Linked DNA regions of Macaca mulatta. The protein of the gene in region 2 interacts with the protein of the main gene of each other region in a pairwise test. Links are inferred from orthologs where the notes say so. Each region holds a gene or a part of one and is shown on either strand. Other genes may lie near its edges.

What was found. The genes of interacting proteins can lie anywhere in the genome.
Region 1: the proteins of CEP76 (region 2) and CRYBA4 interact in binary tests that used the Homo sapiens proteins (3 or more experiments, as listed by UniProt). The two-hybrid records come from large-scale screens. The link is inferred for Macaca mulatta from reciprocal best matches to the Homo sapiens genes CEP76 and CRYBA4.
Region 3: the proteins of CEP76 (region 2) and THRA interact in binary tests that used the Homo sapiens proteins (3 or more experiments, as listed by UniProt). The two-hybrid records come from large-scale screens. The link is inferred for Macaca mulatta from reciprocal best matches to the Homo sapiens genes CEP76 and THRA.

Annotation. Positions count from the first base shown.
Region 1 is NC_133415.1:24,935,008-24,940,427, forward strand, and holds the start of CRYBA4 (beta-crystallin A4), read right to left. Parts: upstream 3,642-5,420; coding exon 3,621-3,641; intron 3,034-3,620; coding exon 2,983-3,033; intron 2,375-2,982; coding exon 2,256-2,374; intron 153-2,255; coding exon 11-152; intron 1-10. UniProt on the Homo sapiens protein: Crystallins are the dominant structural components of the vertebrate eye lens.
Region 2 is NC_133423.1:83,352,888-83,357,666, forward strand, and holds part of CEP76 (centrosomal protein of 76 kDa), read right to left. Parts: intron 4,068-4,779; coding exon 3,901-4,067; intron 2,487-3,900; exon of another isoform or gene 2,310-2,486; intron 1,806-2,309; coding exon 1,472-1,805; intron 1-1,471. UniProt on the Homo sapiens protein: Centrosomal protein involved in regulation of centriole duplication. Required to limit centriole duplication to once per cell cycle by preventing centriole reduplication.
Region 3 is NC_133421.1:64,420,472-64,425,757, reverse strand, and holds the start of THRA (thyroid hormone receptor alpha), read right to left. Parts: upstream 3,642-5,286; 5' UTR 3,514-3,641; intron 1-3,513.

The sequences.
Region 1 (5,420 bases), on a different chromosome or scaffold from region 2:
TAGAACTCACAGCACAGGCCACAGGCCGGAAGGAGGTGAGCCTCTCAGAGGGGTAGGCCGTGTTGCCACCCCAGGCATCCCAGCTCGGGTATTCGCCCCGTTCCAGAACGTACTGCTGCCCTTGGAATCCAGCATGCTCGAAGCCCACCCACCTGCAGACAGAGGGTAGAGTGTGCAGGAGGTAAGCGTCCCCTTCACCCTGCATTCTAGACCAGCAGATGGGTATAGAATGGTCACAATCACAACCATTCAGGGGTGATTGTGCCCCCAGGAAACACTTGACAATGCCTGGAGACATTTTTGGTTGTCACGATTAGGAGAGGGGCTTGGAAGGCCATCTATCAGGTAGAGGCCAGGGATGCTGCTAAACATCCCATAATACACAGGCCAGCCTCCACTGCAAAGGATGATCCAGCCAGAAACATCAGTAGTGCCGAAGTTGAGGGACCCGGCTCTAGACCTGACTTGCTGTGTGTCCCATAGGTAGGGAAACTGCTTCACACAGGTGCCCTGACAACATTGCTCCTCTGTTGGTTTCCACAGAGGCCGCAGAGTCAAAGCTGATCACAGACTGACCTCACCTTGGTGGAATTCCCTGTGATCCTGCCAGGGTGTAGGAGACGGGCCGTTTTGTGAGGAGCTACTGCAAGGCCATCTCTTATATTCCTCCCTCTCTTGTGAGAGGCTTCCACGAGGCAGTTCCTCATCTGCCTGTCTGGCCACTCAGACGTGGGGCTTTCCACCTCACCGCCCCACAGGTGACAATAGCAAGCTATCGTTGAAGCATGGAAGCAGTTCTTCAGACACAGGGTTCCCACCATTCCTGCTGCCTGTCATTCGGCCCCCTTTGTTTTGGTGTCATCCCGTAGGACAAGGGACACAGGAAGCTGACACCATGCGCACCTTGCCTTTGCTGTCTGTGTAAGTAATAAACTGTCTGAATCTATCCGAACTCATTATCTGCTTACTGGCTGAGTCTGTCAGCCTGCTGGACATACCCCTAGAAAGTCTCTGTTCCTATCTGACCCCCATTCCCCACCTGCACAAATCAGAAGCTAAAAGAGTATTTACTAAAGCATGAGATGTGTAAAAATCACCCAAGATGACCTCAGGTGGCACTCACAGGCATAGGATTAAGTGACTCCAAATCTCCTATCTACTTTCCAACCTTCTAGAACCTTCTATCCAATATGGTAACTACTGGCCACATCTCCTAGCTACTTTCCAACCTTCTAGAACCTTCTATCCAATATGGTTGCTACTGGCCACATCTCCTTTCTGTCTACTTTCCAACCTTCCAGAAATTTTTTCCAATATGGCAGCTACTGGTCACATCTCCTTTCTATTTACTTTCCAGCCTTCTAGAACCTTCTATCCAATATGGTAGCTACTGGCCACATCTTTCTAACTACTTTCCAACCTTCTAGAGCCTGCTATCCAATATGGTAGCTGCTGGCCATATCTCCTTTCTACTTGCTTTCCAACCTTCTACAACCTTCTATCTAATATGGTAGCTACTGGCCACATGTAGTTAATTAAATTTAAACTTAAATAAATTAAGATTAAATAAAACATTCCGTTTTCTAGTCATGCTGGCTACCTTTCAAAATCCTTAATGGTCACATCTGGCCAGTGGCCCTGAAATGGATGGTGCAGATGTAGAACATCTCCATCATTGCAGACAGGTCCACTGAATGGCACTGGTCTAGAAAGTCTTGGTGTGTTATTATTGTGTCCTTAACACCTCTCTACATCTCACAATCTCTCTCTCTCTCTCTCACTCTCTTTTTTGTTTTTTAATTTTGGTTTTTTGGGTTTTTTTGTTTTGTTTTGTTTTGTTTTGTTTTTTTACAAAAAATGATCGGGCCACATGCTTGGCAACAAGACTGTTTAGCTAAAAATTAATAGCATTAAAACATTATATTCATTTTTATAGTTACCTTCTACTTTTGGTGAGTGATGTTGGCTTTCAATTTATGGCTAGGAGGGACATTTTTAGATCCAACCCTGGATTCTAAGGATCTTCTCCCGCAGAGCTGCCTCATCCAGTGGGCAGGGTCTGGGTAAATGATACCCTCCCACTGTTGGGCCGTGCACAACCTGCATAACCTTACATGGCAGTCCTGCACACTCCTCAGCGCTTCAAGAGGGCACACTAGGAAAAGAGGACCTAGAATAGCTAAAAGTCCTAGCACTCATCTCTAGGTCCCTTCCTGTCCACCCTCTACCCCAACTCAGTATCCCCCTAGACTCACGCTCCACTCAGCACTTTCAAAGATCGCACAGTCTCGAAGCCAAGCTCCAGCACACTGGGGCACTCGGCCGTGAATTCGTGCCGCCGGCCCTGGAAGCCGTCCTCATCCCACACCACCATCTGTGCCAGGAAAAAAAAAAAAAAAAAGAAGGTGGAGATCCGCATCAGAGTCCCATGGAGGGTGAAGGGTTGAGGGCTCACCCCAGGATCTGGCAGGTAAAGCAGGGATTGCAAACTCAGATGCCTCCAGGAGCCAGGCAGGCAAGGACAGTGAGGACTGTGAGACACTAGAGAGCACAGGTGCCAGGTAGATGGGTGGCCTCTTCCCAGTGCCACCAATGGTTGCCCAGTGGGAATGCAAGCCAGACCTTCCAATTTCTCAATACGATCCCTAGATCTGGACTTTTATGTGGTTCTTCTAGGCTTTTAAAGGCTGATGATAAATCCAAAAGCTTTATAAAACAAACACACACACACACAGATGGTCAAAGAAATCATGCCCAAAGACTGCAATCTCTGCCAAAGAGTGTAACAGGTCAACTTTGGGAACCAGAAGACCCAAGTTCACATTCGACCTCCCTGTATGTGACATACAAGTCCCTTCTCGACTCTGAGTCTTGATTGCACCTCTGTGAAATAGGCATTTATAATACCCTCCTCCTAGGATTCGTGGGGACTTGAACCCTCCCCACACCTCCTGGACACGCCCTCCCCATGCCTCTTCCTACCTTCCAGTGTCCCGCTGACTTGGTGCATTGCAGGGTCATCGTGGCCCCTTCCTACAGAAGAGAAGAACATCATAATAGTCCACCCTGTCCCTCTGCTGTCCTCTTTATGTAGATGGCTGGCTTAGACCTGGTCAGGATCCACATGGGGAGTCTAGGAGTGACTGGGCTAGGGGCAATGCATGGCTTTGGCCTGTCCCTCTCCTGTCCTTTCCATCTGTCACCAGTGCCATCTTCCATCCTATCCCCATCTCAAAACTCACCCTTGCTGGGTCTCATTGACTCTAAGCCCCACTCTGTATTCTCTTATCTGCTTGTTATGGGAAAATTTCTGTGGCTGTTGGTGGGTAGGTACATCACCCCAGCAAGTGCTAAAATGACAGTCCTTCCAAAGACAACGCCTAGCTCAAAGAAGTAGCTCTAATGGTGGAAATTTAGGCAACAGGGCTACAGGAATAATTTTGTTTTTAAATGAGGGAAGCAGGTGCTGGTCTTGATGGTTGGGGCTCATCATTGGTTAGGTGAGGATGGCATTCAGGATGACACAGTGACATCCCTAGGACTGGGGACCTGGGCTCCTCACCTCCCAGGATGCTCACTCAGAACTCTGATCCCATCCCTCCTCCAAACCTGGGACTTACCGAGATAGGCCCAGGGAACATGTCAGATCTGAGACCAGCCGAGGTCAGGCTCTTATAGGCAGGGAGGGAAGAGGGGCCCCTGGGAGACAAAGCCCTGACTCAGCAACTGGGCCACAGAAACAAAAGCCAGCCCTGGCTGAAGAGCCAATGGCAAGCTGTCAGCAGCTCTGGCTTTAGCAGGGAGGGAATGGACCAGATCACCACCCCCAGGGATCAGCCACCAAGAAGCAGAGAGGTGGAATATTGGCCCTCATTAGCCCCGCAAGGTTCCTGACTAGACCAGGAGAATGAACACTAGACGAGGAGTCCAGAAGCATCCTTCCTAGCTATGTGAGCTTGAGCAAGTCATTTCCCCTCAATTTCTGCCTATAAAATGCAGCAGAAACAAACTATATCACAGAGTTGTTGTGAGGTTACATAACACACCTGGCACAGAGTAAACATTCAGGAAATGTCTATTCCTTTCCTCCTCTCATTCCCCTTTCTCTTCCAGTTGAAGCAATCAGGATAGGCTGCCTGTTGGAGGAGGCATTTGAACTAGACTCTGAAGGATGAAGAAGATATGTACAGAGTTAGACAGAAGCAGAGGCATTCTAAGAAAAGTTCAGAGGTGGGAACTTGGGGCACGTGTACAAGAAAGAGCTGGTACGGCCGGGCGCGGTGGCTCAAGCCTGTAATCCCAGCACTTTGGGAGGCCGAGACGGGCGGATCACGAGGTCAGGAGATCGAGACCATCCTGGCTAATATGGTGAAACCCCGTCTCTACTAAAAAATACAAAAAACTAGCCGGGCAAGGTGGTGGGTGCCTGTAGTCCCAGCTACTCGGGAGGCTGAGGCAGGAGAATGGCGTAAACCCGGGAGGCGGAGCTTGCAGTGAGCTGAGATGCGGCCACTGCACTCCAGCCTGGGCGACAAAGCGAGACTCCGTCTCAAAAAAAAAAAAAAAAAAAAAAAAAAAAAAAAGAAAGAGCTGGTAGCCCAATTGGCCTGGAGCTCAGGGGACCTGAAGGGAAGTGAGGCAGGAGAAGAGGTCTAGGCCAGGGCCTGCCAAGTCCACAAAGCCCGAAGATGAATCCAGATGGCTCTGTGGGCAGCATAAAGGAGCTGTTAGTTGCAAACATGCTTTGCAAACTGTAGCACACTTGCCAAATATCCAGGACTTGTACAATTTGCTGTGTGCCTCTTGTCCCTAAACCCTGCCCTCTGAATTGGCCTATGAGGGGCCTCTTACAGCATAGGAAAAGAGCATGACTGGAAACCAGATCATCTGAGATGAAATCCAGCCCTGCTGCTTTTACCATCTGGGTAACCTGGAGGATATCTGAGTCCTGCTCATGACCTGTAAAGTGGCCACACCAGTTTCCTTTTAAGAAGGTGAAATGCAGCTCTATCAAATGCATGACTTTGGGCCAGGCGTGGTGGCTCATGCCTGTAATCCCAGCACTTGGGGAAGTCAAGGTGGGTGGATCACCTGAGGTCAGGAGTTCAAGACCAGGCTGGCCAACATGGTGAAACCCCGTCTCTACTAAAAATACAAAAATTAGCTGGGAGCAGTGGCAGGTGCCTGTAATCCCAGCTACTAGGGAGGCTGAGGCAGGCGAATTACCTGAACCTGGGAGGCAGGGGTTGCAGTGAGCCAAGATCACACCATTGCACTCGAGCCTGGGTGACAGAGCAAGACTCCGTCTCAAAAAAAAAAAAAAAAAAAAAAAAAAAAAAGGAATGCATGACTTTGACAAAGTGTTGGCATGAAAATTAAAGGTTAAGAATGCAACCTCTACAGCCAAACTGCCTGGGTTT
Region 2 (4,779 bases):
AGCTAAAGGCAATACAAGTGATGGAAGGAAATAAAAAGTAATAAGGGGCATTCATTTCCAGCAATATAATGGACCAGAGGTATCCTGACCAACTCTTGCTGAAACCATATTACAAACGCCAAGTTTTCCAAAATATATATTTAAATGCTTTGGTAAGTTGACAAGTGAATAAGAAATATATTAGAGGCCAAAGCTAAGAGTAACTGGGAACCCAGAGAACATGTTTGATAAATCAGTTTGCCTTTGATAGCCTCAAAGAACATAGAAAACAGGGCTCACCCAAGGTGGGGACTGGAACAGGGAACCCTAAAAGGCGAATGAGAACTCAATCTTGTAGGAATTTTGGATTCGAGTCCTTTGTTGGTGATACGTGTTACAAATAACTTTTCCCACCCCACAGCTTCAATCTCTTAATGTTTTCTTTTGATGAACTTAAGTCTTTAAGATATAATCTTTTCCTTTATGACTTAATACTTTTTATATCTTCTTAAAGGCACTTTACAAAGGAAATCTTCATGCTATTTGACAAGAGGCTTGATCTGGCTGGGCACAGTGGCTCACAACTGTAATCCCAGCACTTTGGGAGGCTGAGGCAGGTAGATCACTTCGAGACCAGCCTGGCCAACGTGGTGAAACCCTATCTCTACAAAAAATACAAAAATTGGCGGCATGGTAGCACATGTCTATAATCCCAGTCATTCAGGAGGCGGAGACAGGAGAATTGCTTAAACCTGGGAGGTGGAGGTTGCAGTGAACCAAGACCACGCCACTGCGCTCCAGCCTGGGTGGCAGAGCGAGAGACTCCATCTTAAAAATAAAAAATAAAAATAAAAATAAAAGAGGCTTGATCTCATAAGTAATCAGGGAAATGCAGATTAAAGCCAGACATCTACTTAGTTGAGTATAATATGAAAACAAACAGGAACCAACCTGGGGAGAAAAATGAATATGAAAAAAATATAACCCAGTATACATATTTTTTCTTTTAAAAATAATAGAGATAGTGTTTCATCATATTCCCCAGGCTGGTCTTGAATTCCTGGGCACAAGCGATCCACCCACCTCAGCCTCCCAGAGTGCTGGGATTATAGGCGTGAGCCATCAAGCCCAGCCTAACCCAGGATTTTTAAAGGGGCAAATATGTGAATAAGCATTTCACAAAGAGGAAATCCAAATAGTGGTATTCAGCAAAAATCTTGACTCTAAGGGATGTGAACAGGTTCACCATTCTTCATTTCTAAGAGGAAGTAATTCATTCTGTAAGTATTAATTAATTTGGAGATTTCTGAGTCTCAGAACTTAAACTTTCACGACTTTCAAAATTATAAGGTTCATAATAGTAGGGACTATAGTTGTTTTGTTCAGGTCTAGAATAGTGACTGGCACTATCACACACACCAGAAAAGAGTTAAATACAACAATACACAAATGAAAAGAAGTAGGAAACCACAACGGTCTCGGTGTGAATTACCTTCCTGTGCTCTGACACTAGGAGCCTCAGCTGCATCTCAATGTCATTGCTTGTTACTGACGCGTCGATTGTGGACGCGCACAGAGGTGGAAAGGGAGGAAGGGATGTTGTAGCTCCAGGAGCACACACAGATTTAATTGCTTCCTCACTCATGGGCTTCCATTTGGATTCATCATTCAAATCAAAGACACAGGTTTCTACTGCATCAGACGGTTGACAGTTTCCCAGGAACATCTGATGGTTGAAAACACAACCAATCGTTCGATATGGGTACAGTGGTTTGGGCTGTTCAGCAACTGGAGGTTCATCAGGATTGGCAGGTTTATGGATGTACCTAAAAAAATTAAATAATTTTACATATGAGAACTTAAAAATTAAGAAGGCAGCATCTTACTGAGAAAATTATTCTAACACTTAAGGCCATAACTACTTTTTCAGAACTAGAGTTTAATACTTTTTTTTCTTTATTTCCACAATTTGATTACTCTGTATTAATTGTATGGTACATCTTACAATACTGAAACCAACTCTAAACAACAGAATACATTCTGTGTATACTGTTAAGATCAAAGGCCGGGTGCGGTAATACCAGCACTTTGGTAGGCCAAGGCAGGTAGATCACTTGAGGTCAAGAGTTCGAGACCAGCCTGACCAACGTAGTGAAACCCTGTCTCTACTAAAAACACAAAAATTAGCTGGGCGTGGGAGTGCGTGCCTGTAGTCCCAGCTACTTGGGAGGCTGAGCAACAAGAGTGAAACTCCGTCTCCAAGAAAAAAAAAAATCAAAAAAGTTTGCTTTAGATAACATAATTAAAATAATCTGGTTATGCATTTTTAGGCACAACTAACCAAAACATCACTGTGCATGATTATCAACCAGGGAGAAAAAGGACTCAGGGAAATGAAGAGGGCCCATGGCCAAGCCTCTAGAACACATGCATTTGAAGACAAGATGAAGGAAAAACTGCGAACAGCCAGAGAGGAATAATGAATACTGAAAGACAATTACAAGAAATAAGCTAAGGAAAGAGAATATCCCAGGAAGAGAAGTGAGACAGCCAGGTGGAAAGGGGTCCCCAGAGAAACTCCAACCAGCCTGTGCACTGGGAGGAGCGTACACTGGGGTGGAGCCACACAAGTTCAGCAATTTGCAGTGGGGAGGAGCCTGGCCCCTCCTCTTCCTGAGTGGACCCTGGAAGTGAATCTGCGAGGCGGGAAGCACACTAGCGGGCGCTCTGGCTTTGTGGAGGGTCCCTGTTTCCCAGTTTTTTTCCTTTTTGTCCAATAAATTCCATTTTTCTCCCCCTTCAAATTGCCTACGAGCCTAATTTTTCGTGGCAGTGTGACAAAGATCCAGCTCTTAGCTGAACTAAGGAGGAAGTCCTACAACAGAGGTACTCAGCTCTTTCAAAATCTGATGACAGGCTAAAGTACTTCAAAAAATGTGTCCAGTGGATTGCCAACATGGAGATGGTAACCACATCAAATTTTAAAAAGAAATAATGATTTACAACTTGAACTTATTTTCAGGCTTAGGGATGATCATCAGAAAAAAACATATGCCGGCCAGGCGTGGTGGCTCAGCACTTTGGGAGGCCGTGGCGGACAGCCTGCTTGAGCCCAGGAATTAAAGACCAGCCCAGACAACACAGCAAAACCTCATCCCTCCAAAAAAATTAGCTAGGCATGGCTGTGCACACCTGCAGTCCCAGCTACCCAAGAGGCTGAGGTAGGAGGACCACTGGAACCCAGGAAGGGGATGCTGCAGTGGGCTGTGACTGTGCCACTACACTCCAGCCTGGGCAACAGAGTGAGACACTGCCAAAAAAAAAAAAAAGAGAGAAAACTGAAAAAAAAAAGATGCTAATCATACACAACTAGTAAATATAATTTACTGTTTACGAACATCATGTTGGTAAAGAATATTTGAGGTAAAAATTTTCTTAGAGTTCATTTACTTAGCTGCCATAATTGAAGTACTTTTTTACGTAATCACTAAAAAGGCTCTAACTAAAATCATCAACACGTACCTTCAAGTACCATCAATATGGACAAAAAACCCTTATAATTTAAAATACTTAAAACTTAAGCTGGGCACGGTGGCTCACGCCTGTAATCCCAGCGTGATTGGGGGACTGAGGTGGGTGGATCACCTGAGGTCAGGAGTTTGAGACCAGCCTGGCCAACATGGTGAAAACTTGTCTCTACTAAAATTATAAAAATCAGCCAGGTGCAGTGGCGTGCACCTGTAATCCCAGCTACTGGGAGGCTGAGCCAGGAGAATTGGCTTGAACCTGGGAGGTGGAGGTTGCAGTGAGCTGAGATTGTGCCAGTGCACTCCAGCCTGGGCAACAGAGCAAGACTCCGTCTCAAAAAAAAAAAAAACTTATAACTTCATTTTAATATCCTTATACACTTAGTAGACTAACCTGTGTCCTGTTAAACTCTCCCAAAAAGTGATGGTCCCATCAGTTCCACAAGTCATAACCCATGCATGAGGTACTCCTTTTGCCTTGGTCCCAACACAAACAAAGGCTTCTAATCCATATCCAAGAAGAAGGCTGCACAGAAGGTTAGCATGATCTTCACAGTCACCCTGGAAGATAAGACAAATTAAAATGAAGTATTCGTTCTTCCATATTGTTTCCTCATTACTTACTTAAATACAAAGTTATAATAAAAATTTATTGGCCGGGCACAGTGGCTCACGCCTGTAATCCCAACACTTTGGGAAGCCGAGGCGGGTGGATCACTTGACGTCAGGAGTTGGAGACCAGCCTGGCCAACATAGGGAAACCCCGTCTCTACTAAAAATACAAAAATTAGCTGGGCGTGGTGGTGCACACCCATAGTCCCAGCTACTCGGGAGGCAAGGCAAGAGAATCACTGGAACCCGGGAGGCAGAGGTTGCAGTGAGCTGCAATCGCGCCACTGCATTCCAGCCCGGGCAACAAAGTGAGACTCTGTTTCCAAAAAAAAAAAAAAAAGTTTTATAAAGAACTCACACAACATAGAAAGAAAAGTAGAATTTTTTTTTTTTTTGAGACAGCCTTTTGCCTGTCCTGTCACCCAGGCTGGTGACATGATTCACAGCAGCCTTGACCTCCCAAGCTTAAGTGATTTTCCTGTCTCAGTCTCCCAAGTAGCTGGAACTAAAGGTGTGCACTGCCACACCTAGCTAATTTTTTGTATAAACGGGGGTCTTACTGTGTTAACCAGGCTGCTCTTGAACTCCTGGGCTCAAGCAATCCTCCTGCCTCAGCGTCCCAAAGTGTTGGGATTATAGGCATGAGCTCCTGTTCCCAGCC
Region 3 (5,286 bases), on a different chromosome or scaffold from region 2:
ACAATCTCAGCTCACTGTAACCTCCACCTCCCGGGTTCAAGCGATTCTCCTGCCTCAGTCTCCTGAGTAGCTGGGATTACAGGAGCCCACCACCATGCCCAACTAATTTTGTATTTTTAGTAGAGATGAGGTTTCACCATCTTGGTCAGGCTGGTCTTGAACGCCTGACCTCAGGTGATCTGCCTGCCTCGGCCTCCCAGTGTGCTGGGATTACAGGCGTGAGCCACTGTGCCCAGCCCAATGCCTTGTTCCTTCATCCAGCTATATGTTCCCTGAGACCAAGCCTCAGTCCTTCCCCTCTGTAGCTGCCCTGTGGGTGCCTCCACCTCCAAATAGGCCAAGGCTAGAGGGGGGCATGGTGAGAAGTGCTTGGTGCCCCTGGGCTCTGTGTCTCCTACCCCAGTCCCCCCTCCTCAAATTCCCTTTCCGGAAGAGGTACCCCTTCTAGGCTGGAACCTGCACTCATGGGTGGGCCTCGCTTAGCACACACTTAGTCTGGGCAGCTGTGCCCTCAGAACCAGGCCCTGAGGCTGGGCAAAGAGGACACAGCTGTTGGGCATCTCTGAGGTGGGCCTCAGCTGCCAGGGGTGTGGAGAAAGGCCATTGTGAGCCCTGCAGTGGACCCAACTCAGCAGGGTCCTGCCAGCTCCCCCACTGCCCATGGGGGCGGTTCTTTTCCAGCTTGGGCCAGTGTGGGGGGCTTGCTTAAGAGCTGCTAGCTGGCTGCAGCCTGCACCCTGAGGGTGCCCACAGAACTGGTGTCTCCAGACATGCAGGCCCGAGGGGTCAGCATGGGCAGTGGCTGACCCCCCCTCTCTTCCCCCGTTCCCAGCCCCTAAAACTTGCTGGCCACAGCTGCAGCACTAAGGAAGTGCAGGAAGTCCTGAGCAGCCAGCTGAGCCCCCCGCCCCCCACCCCAACCTCAAGCTGACCCCAGAGGCTGCACAGGGGGGGCCGAGGGGCGGAGCTTGGGTATTAACAACTGGAAAAGTATGAAGAACATTGCTGCCAGTCCCCAGCTCTGAGACAAGGACAGGGGTAGACGGGGGGTAGCGACAGGGCGAGAGAGAGTTACAGACTGGCAGAGGAAAAAGGAGAGAGGGAGGGAGAATCAGACACTGCAAGACAGAACAACAGAAAGAGAGACAGAGTTAGAGAGAAATTCCAAGTCAAAAATACACATCACTCATACAGACACTCGTCAGCCGATGGCCTCTTAAGGAAAGCTTCCAAGTTTGGACAGAAGGGTCCAGGTGGGAAAAAGGGCCAGACTCAAGGTGGGATGCAGGAACTCAGCTGGGGGTGACTGACTGTTCCCAGGAAAGGCCCAGGCAAATGACTCAGAGCAGGGGCAGTTAGACACCCCAGAGCTTTTAGGGTAGGGAGAAGAGCAGCTCTCCCCTCCCCCAGCAGTCAAGAGAATCCCAGCTTCTAGAAGTCACTGGATACTGCTTTGAGCCCATGACTCGGCCCTCTGGAACCCCCCTGAACCCACTGTCTTTGCTCTTGTTTCTCTGTCCCTCTAAAAGAAAGAAAGAAAAAAAAGAAAAAAAAAAAAAAAGCCCATTCCCGCACAGTGGCTGAGCCTAGAGGAAAAAGGGAGGAGGAAGCTGAAGGGGAAAAGTCTGTGATTGTGTGCATCTAAGTGTGTGCTTGGCTGCACAGGCTCCAGTTGTGTGCATCTGGGGTTGTGTGGACACGACTGTTGGTGTGGACCTGCAACTGTGGGGACCTGGGCCTCATGAACTCGTTCTGTACCTTAGTTCAGGGGACCATGTGCAAATGAGTGCACCTGTGTCTGCAGGTTCCACAGTCAATCAACTCACAAGTATTTACAGAGCAGCCCTTGTGCTAGGCTCTGGGTGGCATCCAGAGCTCTTTAAGTGATTCTCCCAGGTCTCTAAGAGCTCACTGTCTAGTAGGGTGGTATCTCAATCGATAGAGACCAAGAAGATGTCATTAGGAATGCAGGCTTTGCACCATTACGCAGGAACACCTTTTCATACAGCCAAATTTAATATTCTTGGGAGCAAGGGTTTTGTTGCCTGCAGAACCTCAGAGTTCCACAGTAAGAGTCCAGGAAAATACTTGTTGCTAAGTTGTGTATACATGTGTTGATGTGTAACTGTGTTTGCATCTGACTGAGTGATAGCGACTGTCACGGCAAGCAATGATGTCTGTGTGACTGGGCTCATGCGAGCACGTGTGTGCCTGTGAGTGACAGGGTCTTTTGTAATTGTGCGGCTGTGTGCAACTGCTCTGTGTGCATGCATGCATGTGACAGTGACTTTTTATGTGTGGGTGACAGCAACTCCTCCTTGCCCCAGTGTGTGACAGCATCTCCGTGTGACCCTGTGTGTGGGTGGGTATGTGCATGGGTCGGTCCCCATGCTCTTGGTCTCCCGTGGGTATATCCCACCCGTCTGAGCTCCACGGTGCAGCAGCAGCCTGCCTCTTCCCTTGTCCCCATGTGGGTGTGTCCAGTAGCTCCTGTCCTTGAGTCCGCCTGGGTGTCCCTGGGTGTGCATGTGGCTGTCTGTGTGGACATATCTCTGTGTCTGCATGTCACTTTTGCTTCCCCCCCTTATTTTGGACAACAGCCCCCTTCATCCCCTCCCCCTCCTGGAGCCAAAGGCAGCACTGAGGGGCAGGCTCCCACCTCACTGTCTTTCCTTCTGTGTCCCCCACCCCCACCCCTGGAACGGTGGTTCTTTCAATTGCCCCTGTCATCCCCCAGGCCTTTCTTTCACGCTGGACAAGGGAGGGCCCCACATGCAGAAGGGGCACCAGAGACACGTTGCAAGGGGAGGGAAACAAGGTGGGGTACACAAACAGGTCCATTTCTCCCTGTCCTCCCCAGCCAGCAACTCTCCTAATCATCTAGGCACCATCAAGTACACCCCCTCCACACACACATTCCCCCCAACAGCCGCGTTTTTGCAATTAGGAGTGTTGCAACCAGACAGCCATGCTCAACTGGGAGGCGGGTGAAGCGAGGGGGGGAACTTCCCTCTCCCAGGACCCGTGCAAGCCCACCACCGCCACCGCACTCATACTGCCCTCCGCAGCTGGAGGCAGCTTTGCAAAGGCCACTCGGCCTCAGAGGCTAGGGGTGGGGGCTGGGGGGGGCAGGCCTCCGGCGCACCGTAAACAAACCGCGGCGCGGCGGGCGGGGGGAGCTCCGGCGGCCGGCAACGGGGCCCGGCCCGGGAATGCGCAGCAGACTGGCCGGACAGAGGCCGGGCGGGCCCTCGAGGGGGAGGCTCGGACGCCATCTCCGCCTGCGAACCCCGGGGCCCACCGACCTCCTACAACACCTCCCTTCCCCAGGGCGTCAGTTGACGCTCCCGGGCTCGTGACAGGGTCACTGGGGTGCCGGGAAAGGCTGAGGCTGGCAGCGGGTACCCCCTGGGCGCCCCCAGCCCGCCTGGGAGCTGGCCACGGAGCCCCGCGGCTTTGCATAATCAATCGCAAGGCATTTGCATATTAATGCCCTCGCTCCCTCCTCCTTACCTCGGCGTGGCGCGCTGGACCGGGCTGGGCAGCGACGCGGGGGTCTCAGCGCCCCGTGCTGGGGGCGTCCATGGGGGGCCGGTGGGGCCCGGGCCGCCCGCCTCCTGCGCCCGGGTGTGAGTGCGAGTGAGCGCGGGGGGGGCGGGGGGCGAGTGTGGCGGCCCCGCGGCTCCTCCGGCAGAGGCGGCGGCCGCTCTGGCTCCTCCCTCCCCCGCCCCGCTCCGGCTGGGGCTCGGGCTCGGCGCGCCCGGCCGGCTCGCGGCTGCTCCCTGCAGGCCGCCTCGCCGCCGCCCGCCCCCGCCCCCCGCCCCCTGCCGCGCCCCGGGACCCCCGCCAGAGGCCCGGCCGCCCCTCGGCCGCTTCTGCCCCGCCCCGCTCTGACTCGCCCTCCCCCGCCCGGGCGGCTCCCGCAGGAGTGGGTACTTGGTGACATATTTTGGAAAAGATGTCATTAAAAAATAGCCTTTGCTTGCCGGGAGAATTGGGGGGTTTTCGGGTGTGCACCGTGGGGGTGGAGGAGGAAGTATCGACGAGCCGCCTGCACCTTATACATGGGGGAGAAAGTCTAAACACCAAATGCTTGCAGGTGTAGAGTTTGTTTGGGTGTTCGGGTCCCTTCTCCGCCAGTAACTCACTGTGTGACCTTGACAAATCGCCACTGCTGTCGGGGGCAGAGCTTCCTCAAGCTTCAGGTGCGAAGGCTGGGCAGGTGACCCCTGATGTCCTTTTAACTTCAATCATCTTACGTTTTTAATCCTTGTGGGGGCTCATTCCCCGTTACCTCCCTCCCCTCTCATTTCTAACATCAATACCGAACCACTGCCTCCCCTTTCCAACGTCACCCTTCTCCATATAGGCTCTTTCTATTCTCTGTCACCAGCCATTTCCCCAACAATCTGCTCCCTCTCCTGCGCTGGGGAGGGGACAAGAGCTGCCATACCCCCTCAATTCCTAGCTCCCCGGTGATGGTATTTCCCCCCATGTTTGCTCCCACGAAAATCCAAATGGTACCAGAGTCAACCTAAGGAAGACGGTGGGCTGCGTACAAATGGACCCCCTAACCCAACCCAAAGGAGAGGTCTCCACCATGCCAGCCCCACCCCCAGCACACACATACACACACCACACACCTGCATTCATGGACATAAAACCAACCCAGTGACGCCAGAGCACCTTTCATCTCAGGATCTCCTAGCGCCAGGCTGAGCCCTAATTACCCCAGCACCCCCCTGGCCCCGCCGGTTCCCCTGCTGTCATTAGCCCAGTTTTACCAGCGGGGGCCACGGCCTTCCCACGGCTCTCAGGGTGGGGCTCTGGCTACACAGTCTGCTCTTGGGGAGGGGTGTGTGTGTGTATGCGAGTGTGTGTGTGTTAGGGGGAGCTGCTCGGCTAATCGCCCAGTTTATACTGGGCAGAATCACTTGGTGAGTGTGGGATTCTGACCCACAGCTTACCCAAGTTGGGTTGCCCTTGCTCATGTCTTAGTATCAGCCACCTGCATCCTCAGTGCTGTTGAAGCCACTTCTTTCACAGGGGGTACTGGAGTTTGTAATTCTTGGTGGAGGGGAGGGTACCTCTCTTGGGGTCCCTGGAACTATGGAGATGAGAAAAGCAACTGGGATGAAACCTATAGCGTGCAGAGTGCAGTGGTGGTGTTGAGGGCATGCCATGGGTGAAGGGAGCCTGTGGTGTGCAGTGGCAGCTGTAATGGTGAATTGAGGCTGCAGCGTGCGAAGCCTCCATGCAGTAAGCGAACCTGTGTTCAGTCTGGGC